Struthio camelus: one gene and its partner. The protein of the gene in region 1 interacts with the protein of each later gene in a pairwise test. Links are inferred from orthologs where the notes say so. Each region holds a gene or a part of one and is shown on either strand. Other genes may lie near its edges.

What was found.
Region 2: the proteins of MID2 (region 1) and MFAP1 interact in binary tests that used the Homo sapiens proteins (3 or more experiments, as listed by UniProt). The two-hybrid records come from large-scale screens. The link is inferred for Struthio camelus from reciprocal best matches to the Homo sapiens genes MID2 and MFAP1.

What each region holds. Positions count from the first base shown.
Region 1 is NC_090952.1:2,236,105-2,243,097, reverse strand, and holds the start of MID2 (probable E3 ubiquitin-protein ligase MID2), read left to right. Parts: upstream 1-3,985; 5' UTR 3,986-4,111; intron 4,112-6,993. UniProt on the Homo sapiens protein: E3 ubiquitin ligase that plays a role in microtubule stabilization. Mediates the 'Lys-48'-linked polyubiquitination of LRRK2 to drive its localization to microtubules and its proteasomal degradation in neurons.
Region 2 is NC_090953.1:487,426-495,023, reverse strand, and holds the start of MFAP1 (microfibrillar-associated protein 1), read left to right. Parts: upstream 1-4,582; 5' UTR 4,583-4,705; coding exon 4,706-4,784; intron 4,785-4,884; coding exon 4,885-5,104; intron 5,105-5,704; coding exon 5,705-5,834; intron 5,835-6,209; coding exon 6,210-6,397; intron 6,398-6,960; coding exon 6,961-7,069; intron 7,070-7,143; coding exon 7,144-7,304; intron 7,305-7,588; coding exon 7,589-7,598. UniProt on the Homo sapiens protein: Involved in pre-mRNA splicing as a component of the spliceosome.

The sequences.
Region 1 (6,993 bases):
GAAATTTCCTGCTTCTTTCCAGTCGCACGCCTTGCATCTAGTCCTGTGCTAGCTCCCAGTTAATGGGAGCCTCATCTCAGCACCTTGCCCTATCACGCTGCTGCTCCCTCAGCAGTTCAAAAGAGCCCTCTTGCCTTCTCCTTCTTGCCCCTGAGCTGCAGCAGGGTTAGAAGGGGGAAGTGAATGGGAGCAACTGAACTCGGGAGTTTTGCATCCTTCCCCTCCTTCAGTTGCTCCCATTCACATGTGAAAAGGTAAAAAGGGAACTGCTCATAAATAGGGTAGTGTGAAAGCCTGTCATGTCTTTTACAACGAATGGCTGGGCTGGGTTAAGAAACTGTTCTGGCTGGTATGCGTGCCAAGAAGACATGCACAATGCATTTGACAACAACTTGCTGCCTCTGGAAAAGCAGCCCTCAAACACTACACAGAGGCAGTTCAGCCCTGTTGCTGCTGCATGAAAACTTTTAACAATAAAGCCTTAATGAAGAGCATGACAGTGGGACTGCTGTCTTGCAAGACACAGAGGCATTGGGAAAGTGCATGCTAAGCCAGAAGAGCCTGTTTTGGGGCAAGTTTGTGAGGCCTCTGGTTTAGGCATCACAGGACAGAACTGAAATTGTGATCAGACTCTGAAATTCCAGGCCTCAACATGAGGTGGTGCAAAGTATCCACTTCCTATACATGAACTGAGCTGCTGTTCCATGCACAGTGACGGAGGAGGAAGTGAATGCCTCTGGGTAAGAACTGGAGATACAGGAGGTGCTAATGAAACTTCAAAAAATGACGTTATCAAAACATAAGAAGAAACTAGAAGATTCTTCTTGGGGAATTCATCCTGCTCATTCATTCCTGCTCATCTCTACAACTACCTGCCTGCTTTTAGGAAGAAGCAAGAAGAGGGATTCAGAACTTAAAAGGATTTTTCCCCCCCTATGCTTTCTACTGCAAGAACAAATTTCAGAGAGGGGGAGTCCCGCTTTATAACTTTGTGTCATTTATTCACTAAGCATCCCAGGCATGCAGTATAACTTGAGTGCCTCCATTCCCCATTTGTAAAATGTGGATGCTAACACATACCAGCCTTGGGCAATATAATCACGATTCCCTTAGTCCTAACAACATGCTCACAGCTGCATGTTACACAAATCAAGTCAGTCCCTATTCAAAATGCACAAGTCCTGCTGGAAGAGGTGCTGAGCACTTGACACTCCAAAATGACTTCACGGGCAGATGGACATGTTCTCCCCACCCCTAATTAATATGATTCACTCTTGAGTTGTTAGCACATTAGCATAAAGAGCTCTACCCTCCTACCGCCCTGCTTGCTCAATTAAAGTGTCATTTGGACCTGATCCCTTCTGTGTTTAGAACACATGCACATATAGAGCAACACTGTAATTGTAAATATTTGCCCAAGGTCACCTCTGACACTTCCAGTTTGTAATCCAGAGGCCTAACTAGGCTAGGGACTCATCAAGCTGACAGTGGTGGTAATGTTCCCTGACAAAATCCTATCTCCTGTGGATCCCTTTAGAAAAACTGTTTGGGGGCTTAAAATACCCCTGACACCGAGCTGTGGCCTGGTAGGTCTCAGCCCACCTGGGCCATGGTATTTGGTGTGTTCTACAGATGGAGCCACAGCTGTGCACATCCGCCATTGGGCTTTGATTTGCAAGTGTGAGAGAGACAGCAGTAGTTAGATTCCTGGAGGACAGGAAAGAGAGGCACTGACACTTATCCCCTCCATATCGTCCCTAGCAGCAACTCCAAAGCCTCTGTTTCTCCCATGCTCCCTGTCCCTGCCAGCTTGCCTACCTTTCCCAGTGATGTGGTAAGGTTGTCATCATAGCTGGGAGAAGGTGTGAGATCAGGATACCACACAGCTGGCTACTGCTGCATGATGCCTGCTGGCTGGGCTCTCTTTCTCACCAGCATGCTTTGGGAGGAAGCTTGAAGGTCTCTGAGCTTGGGGCTGAGCCAAGCTACCAGACTCCTGTGACAGCTGCTCCTTGGCAGCCCTGATCACAGTGCAGAAGCCATGTGAATCCAGGCTCGGTTACCTGCAGAGTCCTTTGAAATGGGGTGTTTGTGGTCTCCAGTCATCTGTTAGTTGTTAGCAGCCTGTTTTCTGTTGCAGCCTGATGTGCCTCGTCTCTGGGTTGCACATCTGCGCTATTATCTTTGCTGTTCCCTGCTGCTTCATGTTTCCATTGGCCCATACAGTCAGTGTCTCCCCCTTGTACTGCCTCATCTAAGCTATACTGTGTTCACAAATGTACACACATAGGCGGGGGTCTCTGCACCTGGTAATTGGTGACCCTAAACACCAGTGCAGGATGTATAACTTTGCCCAACAGACTAAATCTGATCCCAGGTACCTGCTGCAGCCTATTAATAGCACTGAATTCAGGAAAGTTGCTTTAATTTCCTGCCTGTCTAAACAAAGGAAGAATTGGGCCCTATCAGGCTCTGATCGGGCTGTTTGTTCTCTTCTCGCTTGGTTTGCACAGATGCAAATGACAAGAATCAGTCCCAGGACAGCTATGAATTACGTGACTTGGCCACAGCAATGCAGACTGTTTTCCCTGTCAAAAGAGCAGAGATAGGATTTAACGCCGAATAACTGGTGTACATTAACTATCCCACTGTCAGATTCTCCTAGGGAACAGGATCTGTGATTTTTCTGCAAGGTAAACTAGGTGAGAACAACCCTGGCTGTGGTTATGATGTTGACTTCTATTACTCGGTAAAGTACAGCTGTCTTTTTCCACTGGAATTTCACAGTGTGACAACTACCATGTGTTCGGTGCCTTACTGTAAAAATGAAGCACATACTATGTGTCTGGGCATGCAATGACGATATCAAAGTGAATTAAGGGCAGAAAATGAAAGGGCTGCAGGTCCCTGCACACTAAACCGTTCCTTTGACATCTGAAAGGATCTCTTCCTACCTCACTGAGCGGCACCGAGATCCTGGATATACTTTTCCTCCTATTTATTTTAAAGAGAAGGGTCATTTAACAGTCCAGGCAGTCTTCAAATATAAATAACCTGTACAGCATATATGCCTGTTACCAAGGAATAAATTACATTTCTGGGTTCCCCTTCCCTTGTATCTCTTTGATGTTATTGCTTTGCACTTATATGTATGTATGTATATATGCACTTTATAAATAACAAAATAAACTTACCCAATAGGCTTTTTTACTGTATTAAAAACATCAGAATATCCACCCACTCTTCGGGACTAGAAAGTGGGGTTGGAGAGGGAACTAATCTAATCTATTTCTCAGCTGTATCGGACAATGGAAAAGCAAACACATTAAGAGTTGCTGCGAAGAAATTTAATCTCAACTTTTAAGTATCTCCTCCACTGTAATAATAATAAAACACCCCACGGATCTCATTTAAAGCCTTTGCCTGATGTACATGTCTGACTATCCTTGTAATCGCTATTGGTCTGTGCACAAGGAAGAAATGTTTCCTAACGCTACGCTCCTCTTCCTCGTGCGGGGGGACAGAAGACGGGTGGTTAAGGGCTGCGCTGTCCTCGGCCCCGACCCCGGGCGCCGCGGGCCGGTGCCCCCGGAGCACGTCGGGGCGCGGCCCGCGCGGGCCCGCGGCTTCGCCGTTCCCTGCCGGCCTTCCAGCCTCTCTCCTCCGCCGCCGCTCAGGCAGACACGGCGCGCCCGGGGGCAGGAAGGGGCGGCCGCGGGGCGGTACCGCCCGGCCCGGCCCGGCTCCGCGGCGCCCGGCCCCGCTGGAGCCTCCCCGGCGCGCCCTGGCTCGGTGCCACCGCGGCGGGGCGGGCGGGGGGAGCGCGGCCCCGAGGCCGCCGTGCCTGGTGCTGCTGCGCTGCCTCACCTGCGGCGGCGGGCAGGGCCGGCGGCGGCGGCGGCGGCGGCGGCGGCGGCGGCGGCGGCGGCGGCGGGAGGGCGGGGGGGCGGCAGGGAGGGCGGGCGCGAGGCAGGGCGGAGGCGGCGGGAGCGCGGCGCCCGCCTCCCGCCCCGCGCTCCGGCTGCCGCCCGCGCCGCCGTCTCCCCCGCGCCGCCGCCGCCGCGTCTCCAAGATGCCCGGGCAGCGGCGGGGAGGCTGCCGCAGCCCGCTGGTAGGTTGCGGCCCCGGGAGAGCGGAGCAGGGCGGGCGGGTGCCGCCCGGAGCCCGCGGGAGTACCGGGGCCCCGGGGTGAGGGTGCCTGGCCGGTCGCCGAGGGGGCGAGGGCGCGGGGTGGCGGGCAGGGCTCGGGTCCCCGGCGCTGCCGTTGCGATTTTGCAGCAAGCGGCGCAGAGCGGAGCGGGGGCCCGCACCGCCCCGTGCTTTCCCGGCCACGGCGCTGCCAGGGGCTCTCGCCCTGCCCGGAGCCGGCGACGCCCGGAGCCGGCGGCGGCTCGGTGCGCAGGCAGCTCTGCCAGCTGCGAAGTGTGTTTGCAAATGCTCCTAAGCATCTTCCGCTCCTCGGTGGGGAAGAACAGAGGAGTTTGCGCTCGGCGCCCTCCCAGCCTTTTTCCCCTTCCACGGGAGGAAGTTCAGGTGCGCCGAGTCCATCCTGCAAGACCAGCCAACGCGAGGTGCAGTGAGACGTCCCCTTTCCTTCCTAGCCGTTTCTGTTTGCTCGGAACCATCCTAGTATGAAACAGCTATTTGTTTGCTAGTTGGCCTTCAGGCTGGCGAGCCGGAGAGGACAAACTTGCCTTCCCACTCCAAGCTCTCCGTGCCAGCCAGTTTAGTTAGCATCTCCCACCCTTTTCCTGATTTTCCAGGTAGTGTGCGCGTGTGTCACATCCTTTCTGCCTCTCAGCCTGGCGACTACATTTTAAATCACTGCGTTTTCAGTTTCAGGCTCCCACTGCTGTCAGCAGGGAGCCCTGTGCAGTGTGGCTGCTTTCTGGTTGCTCCAGTTTTCGTTGCTAGCAGTGTTTCACAGCTTTAGCGATGATAAAGTTTAGCTAAATTGAAGTTAAAAGATAAGGGGGTCTCCCGAGGCTGGCGTCTTCAGAAATCTTCTAGCATTCTTGCAAAGCAAGGCGGAAAGGGGCACGTGTAATGTCTCTAATAATGCTAACCCCTCTGTCTCACTGAGAGACTGTGCAATATTTCATGGGATATTGCTCTACCATTTAATTGACTGTGCAGGACTGATATTATTGCTAGTCCTGAAGTGTAGCGTATTTTGGTTGCATTAAGTATCTGACAAGTTGTTAGAAAATGTGGCTGAGTGACACTCAAGACTTGAATTCCTAGTCTTTAAGCTTTATTTATGTCTCTTGCCTCCAAAAACATATCAACTGCATATTTTATTGCTCTGATGTGCACAGCTAAAGATGTTTGTAACGTAGTTCACAGGCGGCAAATGGCCATTCCATTGAATGGGTTGTAGAGCTTTTGGAGAGGGCAAATGTGTCTTGTTGCCCTACAGTTTTCTCAAGTCCTGACACGCTGGGGTGTTAATGGCTTCAACTGTGCCTGTTCTGTCTGGCTTTTGCCCAGGTCTTCTCCCGCTCTGAAGCAAGCTCTAAAACCTCGGCTGAGTCTTTGTTGTTGAAAGCGGCTTCAAGAAGACCGTCTGTCTTTGAGTAGCTGCCGTAGCTAGAACGAAGCTGGCAGCCTGTACCCACGAAGGCTCTCTGTATCGGCACGGAGTCATCGTTTGCTCCTAGACAGTGTATTGTCTTACAAGTGAGGTCACTGCTGGACAGCATGCTGGGAATTTGGGAAGCGGTGCCAACTGCTTGTCGTGCTGTGCGTGGGACCGAGACGCGTCGAGTTGGGGTCTGAACTGCTTCTTGAACCTTCTAAGAAGAAGAATGGTGCCCTTCCTTCCTTATCTCCCCCCACTCCAATGTGATCTGGGGATCGGGGGCAGAGGCGTCGAGGTCCTGCACGGCCCGGTTTGTGGCAGAGGAGGGCAAACTAGTTGGGGGATGTGGGGTAAGATGTCTGTGGAATAAACAAAGGCAGGCTGGTGAGTGCAGAGCTTCGTGGCTTCTGCGGGTGCTTTGGTCTCTGTGCTGGGGTTGTCGCTGCTGCATTTAGCCTGCTAGGAACGCGCTCAGAGCTGTTCACTTGGCTTTTTCTTCTTGTGAATGGGCAAGAAATAAGGGGGAGGGGAGGCCGTGAACGCAGGTTTATTTGTGGCATTTGCCCGCTGGGCGGTAGTGTTGTAAGGCTGCGATGATCTCTGTTCCAGGGGGCTATTCCACAAAACTACTTCTGGGAAACCAGCTCGGAAAAGGCAGTGAGTGGGGATAAAAATACAAGGAGGAAGAGCAAGTGTCAGCGATAGAAGCAGTTGCATTGATTCAGGCAGGTGGTGTTATTGCTACAGAGAGCCCTGGGTGTGCCTGCTGCTTTACAAACAATTAGAGACAGGTCTGTGCCCTGCGGAGCCTTTTGCGGCATCAGGTGAAAGTAGTGCGTACAGTGAGTGTCCGAAAAGTTGCACTGCCTGTTTTGTAAACGTTGCTTTAGAAAATGAAATTATGCTGCAGTGTATGATAAATTCCCTTGAAGGGTCTGCTTGCATGCGCAGTGTGATCTGATGGCCTCATTGGCAAAGGCACAGTGTTGGGGGGGGGATGCTAACAGTTTGTATGTGATTGCATATATATATGTTTGTAAACAGGGGTGGGATCGTCCTTGAGACAAGAGAATGGTTGACTTTTTTTTTTTTTTTTTAATCAGGACTCTATCATCTCCTCTTTGGGCTGGGGAGGTATGTTTCCAAGTCTGCACTTGAATTTTTCATCCGGAATCCCCTAGCGTTTGGCTTCAGGTGCATTTGTGTGCAGTCAGTGGTTGGGGCTGCTGCTGGGAGTTGCTTGGCCAGCCGGAAGTACGGAGTGTTTTGCTGAACCTGTCATGTCTCAGGTCAGCTACTGACTTTTGACAGTTCTCGCATCTCAGGGCTGCTCTTTTGCAATGTGGCTGGTAGTCTGAGAAACTGTGGCTCTTGGCCGTCCAGGCAGAGAGGCTGGATCTCTGCGGATCCAG
Region 2 (7,598 bases), on another chromosome or scaffold:
TAGGGGTTCCCGTAAGGAAAGGCAGCGGAGGAAGGACAGAGGCCCTCACAGAGGAGAAAACCAAACAAACAGCAATAACATCACAGAGAGGACATCAAGAGGGACCAAATCAATAACTAAATATTTACTTAGAGCGCAGTGGCCACACTGCCTGCTGCTCCCATGCAACCCTCCCACGGCAGGGGGGGGGCTGAGTCCGCAGCCCTCCGCGTTGCTGCGGACACGTTTCCCCAGCCCCCCCTTCCTGCACAGTTCTGCTCCCTTTCCCAAACCTCGGGGTGCAGATCCCACTTTCCTCTGGAATCTCTCCAACCCCTTCACCTCACGTCACTTCACTGCCGGACGCTACCAGCAGGTTCCTGAGACGGCCTTGGCGCGCCGGGAGGAGGGTGCGGAGCTGCAGCGGCTGCAGTCCCCGGGCTGGAGCTGCGTCTGCAAGGTCCCGATGGCTCACGAGGCGCTATTCATAGTCACGCTCCTAGACATAACATTTTATTGTGGTCACACACATGGGATTCTCGAGATCCACCCCAAACACGCTGACCTTGCCCTGCGGTACAGTTTGCAGACACAAACAGTGGCGGCTCAGAAGGGGGCTGTAACTTTATCTGCCTTCTGACTTTGCCGTCAACAGCCATAAGGCCGCCGAGGTATCAAATCCGCAGCCCGCCGTGCTACCGCCCCTCTTCAGCTTTGCTGCTTTACACCCTGCCACCTCATGCCCTGTGTACAGCTTATCGCTGTTCACGGCAAGGGACACCCCTGTCTGGCCTGAGCACCCCAAGGTCCCTGCCGCAGTCGGGGGTCTCAGCACAAACAGCAGTGCAAACAGGAACACAGGTGCGCGCGCGCAGGAAACACCCGTGCCAGCCCGTGGGCAGGACCCCCTTTTTCTCCTTAGGCTGCAGTGAGGCATGGGGGGTCGCTCATAGATCTCAACAAAGAAATTTAGTCCAAAGCCTGACGGGCAGAGGTTTTAGCCAGCAAGTTGACAACGCAGCAGGGAACGGAGCTGCCCGTGTCGGGTGCCGGGGCGCAGCGAGCTCGCACGCCGCCCCACGGCACCCCGGCTCCGCGAGCGCAGGGAAGGGGCAGCTCAGGCTCGCGCCGCGCCGCCGCCCCCGCCGGAGCCCGGCCCCGTGCGGACCGCCAGGCTGGCTGAAGGCTCGGGGCCGACACGTCGCCGCTGGCGCCCGGGGCCGGGGCTGAGGGGCATCGGTCCCTGGTCTGCGGAGGAAGGCGGCTGGGGCCGCTGCCCGGAGGCACAGGCTCTTGCCAGCCTGCCCTGTCCGCAGGGGATCAGCTAGGGAGGAGCAGCGACAGGACACCGCCGCTCCCGGCCCGGCGCGGGCTGGCTCTCCCTGGCCAGGGCAGGGCCAGGCCGCACCGCAGCAGGCTCCCTCAGCCCCCCTGCACCAGCTCAGGCGACTCCAGCACTCGGTTTCTGCAGCTCGGCTGCGGCTCTCAAGGGCACGCGGGGCAGAGGAGGCACGCTGCGGGCTCCGGGCTGCTTTCGGCCGTTGCTTCAGGCTTCTGCCGTCCCCCAGAACCGAAGCCAGCCAGGGAGAGCCCGTCCCTGTTTGCTGAGGTCTTTAACTCCACCTGAATGGCACATTATGTGCTTTGTGTGCAATTCCCAAGCTCTCCTTTAACAGTTAGGTCTAATTGTTTCACCTACTGAGTCACATGTTGAAGCTCACTCCTTGCCATGGTGACACTGGATTCATTAGGTGGGAACACACTGTGATAACCACACAAGATTAATATCTCATCAGATGATCAAACGCAGAGCAGGGAGCTGGGCCTGGAGCTCCAATTGCCGTCAGGACGTAAATGCCAGAAACACCGAGAGCTCTTGCTTATTCCTGGGCATCAGTTGCTGTAGGATTATAAAGCCACTAATGCCTTGTCTGCGAGGGCAAACCGCAAGCTGGCAGGGCACCGAGGGAGACCCACAGCACTGGGGCCCTGCCCGAGCGCTCCATCCCTCCTCCTCTCGCAGCTCTGCAGCCAGGCTGGCCAAATCCCCCAGCTCCTGTAAGCACAGAGGCTCCTGCGAAGGCAGCAAGGTCTGCCTGGGTCTCGCCAGCAGAAACAGGGATTGTCTGAGACGCAAAGCTACCGAAGAGCGCTGCAGTAAGCACCTTCACGCAGCGCCACGCCACGGGCTGCGCCCGGGATGCCCTGGCCACAGGCAGCCAGCGCTGCGAGATGGGCTGGCTCTGGCGGCGCTGCCCCAGGCCCAGGGGCCTCCTCGCGCTCTCGGCCTGCAGCCAGGGCCTTAGCCACGCTGGCAGGAGCCGCTTTACCCAGCTGGTCCTGCCCCGCCTCTCGCAGAGGGGCCGAGGACAAGGCGAGAGGCTCCCCCAAGACAGAATCCCCCGCAGCGTCAGCCTGGAGACCTCTGCAGCAGCCCTGGGACGCCCCGCGGCCCCCGACGAGCAGAGCCCGGACCCAGGGGCAGTGCTGCTGCTGAGAACCACTTTCTGCCGCTTCCTTCCACACCCCGGACTACCCCGCTCCCTCAGAACAGTAAGTTGCACTGGCTAAATCACATCCTCCCACGAGGAAACCTCCCAGCCTGCAGCCCAGGACACCAAAAGGAAGAGTTTGCTGCCTTTCCTTTGGGAGCATGCTCCAGCGCTGAACCTCCATCTGGGAAAACACACTTGCTTTTGGATTTCCTGGGCATCCACCTCTAGCAATGCCCATCACACCCCGTGGCCTCCGCAACGTGCCCACGAGGGCCCCTGCTCGGGGCTGGGCAGGGCGACCACCTGCCACGCGCACGGCTAACACAGCACTCATCCCTCCCCACTTCCCAAATTCCTGTTACGAGATGTGTCGCAGACTGGCTCAAGTCCTGCAGCTAGGTTTCCTGGAAGATAAAAACCTCTTCCTTTCTTTCAAGGCAGCACAAAATTGCAGACGTTGGCTTGGTGGTTTGTGACATAGTTTTGCCCTACTTCAGAAATCTTGTTTTCCGTGCCACAGAAAAGCAGGGCAGCTCTTGCAAGCTGATCAGTTCCCGAACAGCCGTTTTCCTCTGTGAACTCTAGCACCTCCTCGGAGGCAATGACCGTGGTGAATGCGTGCTTACGTGGGCAGCACCCTGCCACATTCAGAAAATCTTTCTCCCCTGCTATGAAACAGCCACGCCCCCAGGCCCTTCCTGCCACACACATGCCACAAACCTCCCGTCACTTGCACTGGGAAAGCCCCAGGAGGTTCTGCAGTGGTGGCAGTGGGAGAAGCATCTCCCCCCACAGAACAGCAGGAGAGTCCCGCTCCTCCAGGGTAAGTCAGCCTCCAGGTGCTCACGGTGCTGCAGCGAGAAGCGCTGCTGCGTAGGGAGCTGTGAAGGCGTCCTGGCAGCCTGGGAAGACACGAACCCGAGCAGCGAAGCTCCTGCTTGGCTTGGTTTGCTGCTAGTTTACAGAGCAGGAGGGCCCGGGACAAGACTCTGATCAACACAGCAGTGAAAAACCTTCACAGCTCCAGGCTTTGTCTCAGGTCAGACATCAACCCCAAGACCCAGCGTGGCTGGCAACAGGCACAGCACGAACTAAGACCCAGCGTGGCTGGCAACAGGCACAGCACGAACTGAACCCACAGCAGCTTCTGCAGTCGGACCCTACCATCCACCCAAAGAGCAACAGGTTCCCCTGGCCGTGCTAGGAGGAGCTCTGCAGCCCCACCAAGCACAGGATGCGTCCCACAGCCTCAGCAAGACCCTGCAGGAGTTAGAGGGACGGTGGCACCGTGGAGCCGCTGACATCCAATATCCATACAGCTGTACAGCAGCTGCTGGCTCTGCTTTTGCTGCTCATCATCTCCACTTTAGCTGCACAAATGGAGAAGGAGCAGGAACTTACATCACGGGCTGAACATCTTTTCCATTCAGAGTTCAGTCACTAAATTGGAAGAAGGGGGCCGTGAGCATCTGTGCCTCAGTCATCTCTCACCCCATGATGGTGTGCTTTATCTAGAGCGACACTACCTCGGGCAAATAATTCGAAACCCAAAAGGCTGGCAGCAGGCGGAGACCAAGACTCTAGATAGAGCCAAAGGCCCTGAGCACCAGGACGTGGATTAGGGAAGAGGCGACCAGATGCCCCAAGAAAATCGCAGCCCGAGCAGCGGAGGGCCAGAGCCCCAAGGCCCGAGGGAAGCTCCGGCCAGCAGGAAAGGCCTGCTCACGCGTCCCCCGTTCCCCAGCGCTCGAGAGGGCCCTTCGGGGCAACTCCGCACCCGCGCTGCGCCGCCAGCGCCTCCCCCCGCCGCCCGGCGGACCACGGGGAAAACACACGCAGCAGGTGGCGCAGCCGAACGCCCCCGCCCCGCCCGCCGAGGCGCGACGCCGCCCGTCGCCTGGGTGCCGGCGGCGGCGGGGGGCAGCGGCCCGCGGGGGGCGCTCCCCCGGGCGGCGCGGCCCAGCGCCGCGGCCCGCAGCACCCCCGGCCCGGCCCCAGGCGGCACCGGCAGCCGCCCCCGCCGGCCGCTCCCCCGCCCCGCCCCGGCGCGCCGGAAGTGACCGCCGCCAGTGGCGTCACTTCCGGCCAACGGCTCGCGGGGGCGGGAGGCGGCGGTTCCGCCGGAAGCGGGGGCGGCCGCAGTTCCGGTTCCGGGGGAGGAGGGTGCCCGCCGCCGCCAGAGCCGCCGCCGCTGCTGCCGCCGTCCCGTCCCGTCCCGACCCGCCGCCACCATGTCGGTCCCCAGCGCCCTCATGAAGCAGCCGCCGATCCAGTCCACGGCGGGCGCCGTGCCCGTCCGCAACGAGAAGGGTGAGCGGGGCACCGGGGGGGCCGGCGGCGGCGGCGGGGGGGGGAAGCCCGGGCCCGGTGGCGGCCGGCCGGGCCCCGGTGACGGCCGCCCCGCCCGCAGGCGAGCTCTCCATGGAGAAGGTGAAGGTGAAGCGGTACGTGTCGGGGAAGCGGCCCGACTACGCGCCCATGGAGTCCTCGGAGGAGGAGGACGAGGAGTTCCAGTTCATCAAGAAGGCGAAGGAGCAGGAGGTGGAGCCCGAGGAGCAGGAGGAGGAACTCGCCAACGACCCGCGGCTGCGGCGCCTCCAGAACCGCATCAGCGAGGACGTGGAGGAGCGGTGAGCAGCGCCTGCCCCCGGAGGAGACCCGGCCTTCCCCAGAGCCTCTGCCTCCGGCCCCGCTCTGCCGCTGACCGTCACCCAAGCACGGCCGCGCTCTCCCAGCCCTGCGGGAGCGGTCTCCAGCGCTGTTGGCGCGGGTGCTGGATCGTGCCGCGGGCCGCCGCTGTGCCGTGAGCACCCCTGAAAGCCAAGGGTCACGGCAGCCCCGCGTTCAGGAGCGGTTTGGCTGGCCCAGGGGAACAGCGGGTTCTGAAATAAAAATTAACACAGCGACACCTCTCTAGGCTAGCGGGAAGATATGGTTTCATCTGAATCGTATTCAGGGCAGAAAGTATCTGAGCACTGTTTACCTTCCCCCATAGAGGTACTTCAGCCTTCAGCACTAGTAAAGGGGAGGCTTCCCACCAAAAACACAAATGGGGAGGAAAAGCCACTGCCTGGCTGCTCCTGCCTTTTAGGAAAGGACATGCTGTTTCACTCCCAGACTCAGTCGTTCCAGTTTTTACTATGGCCTCATTAAGAACAATTCACAAATAGCCATCTTTCTGCGGTCTCTTTACGCTCAAAGTGCTGTAGTTCAACTAGGGTCTGTTACAGGCTGGCCAGACACCGTAAAATTGTGGAGCCTGAAGTGGTTGGAGACAGCGATTCAGAGGTGGAGGGAGAAGCTTGGCGGCTCGAACGGGAGGACACCAGCGAAGAGGAAGAGGAAGAGATCGATGATGAGGTATGCTTGCAGACCTGAACAGACTTGGCTTAAGAAAGCCCCTGAATGACACAGGCTGGAATAACCCATGTACGTGTGGAAAAGGCTATCTGGTGAAACTAGGGAGTTTCAGGACTTGCAGGTCACTCCATAGCTGGCCATGACTTAACTCTGGGTTACCTGTCTCTTGCTGCGAGGTGGGACGCTGGGTGAGGCCACCTTCCATCCTGAGGGACGGGAACATCTTTTTGTAACAAAGAGGTTCCAGACATGTCACTTCTGGCACAAAGAATCTGAAAGGAACTGGCTTCCTGCCTGAGGCAGAAAGTCTGTGGGGAAGGGAGCGGTAGCAGGGCTGCTCCACTGACTCCTCTGTGTTTGATGCACCTCCGTTAGGAGATTGAGCGTCGCCGTGGGATGATGCGCCAGCGAGCGCAGGAGAGGAAGACCGAGGAAATGGAGGTGATGGAGTTGGAAGATGAGGGTAGATCTGGAGAAGAGTCTGAGTCAGAGTCCGAGTATGAGGAGTACACAGACAGTGAGGATGAAATGGAGCCACGTCTCAAACCTGTCTTCATCCGCAAGTAGGTGACACGGTCAGGCAGGTCGGTCCTGTGTGAGGATGCAGGAGGCAGCGGCTGGGCGCCAAGCAGACGGTCACCGCTGTGATCTCCGCTTCGTACAGCGGGGCGGTAGCACTGCCTGCCTCCTAAGGGGAGGTGACAAATACCAGCCTGGCAGGGCACAGCTGAGGAGTAACGGGTGTTCGCTGAGCGGCCACGGGCAGCTCTTGCAGCTGTGTCAGGTCACTGCGTGGGACCAGCCGGTGGGTTTCATCGCAGCAGGGTTGTGCTAGGGCATTTGGGCAAGCGCTGTACAAAGAGCTGGGAAGCTGGCAGAGGGTAGTGCACCACGGCGGGTGCCTCGCGCTCTCTTCTCTCCACGCATGCCTGTAGCTGTAGGGGGAATTAGCAGGGCTGCCCTGGCTTGGGCAACAGCAGGAAGGGGAGAGCCCTTGAACTTGGCTCTTACTTGGAGAGTAAGGGCTAAGGGTCACTGCAGCACGGGAGCAGGATAAGTCTGTGAGGGGTTCGGCTGCATGGGCTCACGCTGAAAGGTTGAAGGCTTTTGTGGTCTCTGTCTATAGGAAGGACCGGATCACGGTTCAGGAGCGAGAAGCAGAAGCCTTGAAGCAGAAGGAGCTGGAGCAGGAGGCAAAGAGACTAGCAGAGGAGAGGCGCAAGTACACGCTCAAGGTACCGCGGGGCTGGCTGGGGGTGGCACAGGGAGGGTGGGCACTGCAGCAGGCTTACTTTCACCCTTGCTGCAGATTGTAGAAGAGGAAGCAAAGAAGGAACTGGAGGAGAACAAGCGTTCGCTGGCAGCACTGGATGCACTTGATACAGATGATGAGAACGACGAGGAGGAGTACGAGGCCTGGAAAGTACGTGAGCTGAAGCGTATCAAGCGGGATCGTGAAGAACGAGAAGCGTAAGTATTGTCTCTGCTTAGATCTGTGGCTGAGCGTCGGCAGGCCCAGGCCCTGCACCCTGCAGGCCAACTGACGGTTGAGGCCTCTCTTCCTCAGGCCTGCTTTTGACAGCACACTCTTACCTAGACAAAGCATCCAAAACATTTCCTCTCCACCCTCAGGGTGGCCTTGCTCCGCTGTGGAGTCAGTAAATGCAATCCCTTAGAAAGGCTTTCTGCAACAGTAATTGTCCCGAAACATTGCCGTGAGAGGTGCTGATTCTGAGGGGTTTTTGTCCTGCCAGCATGGAGAAG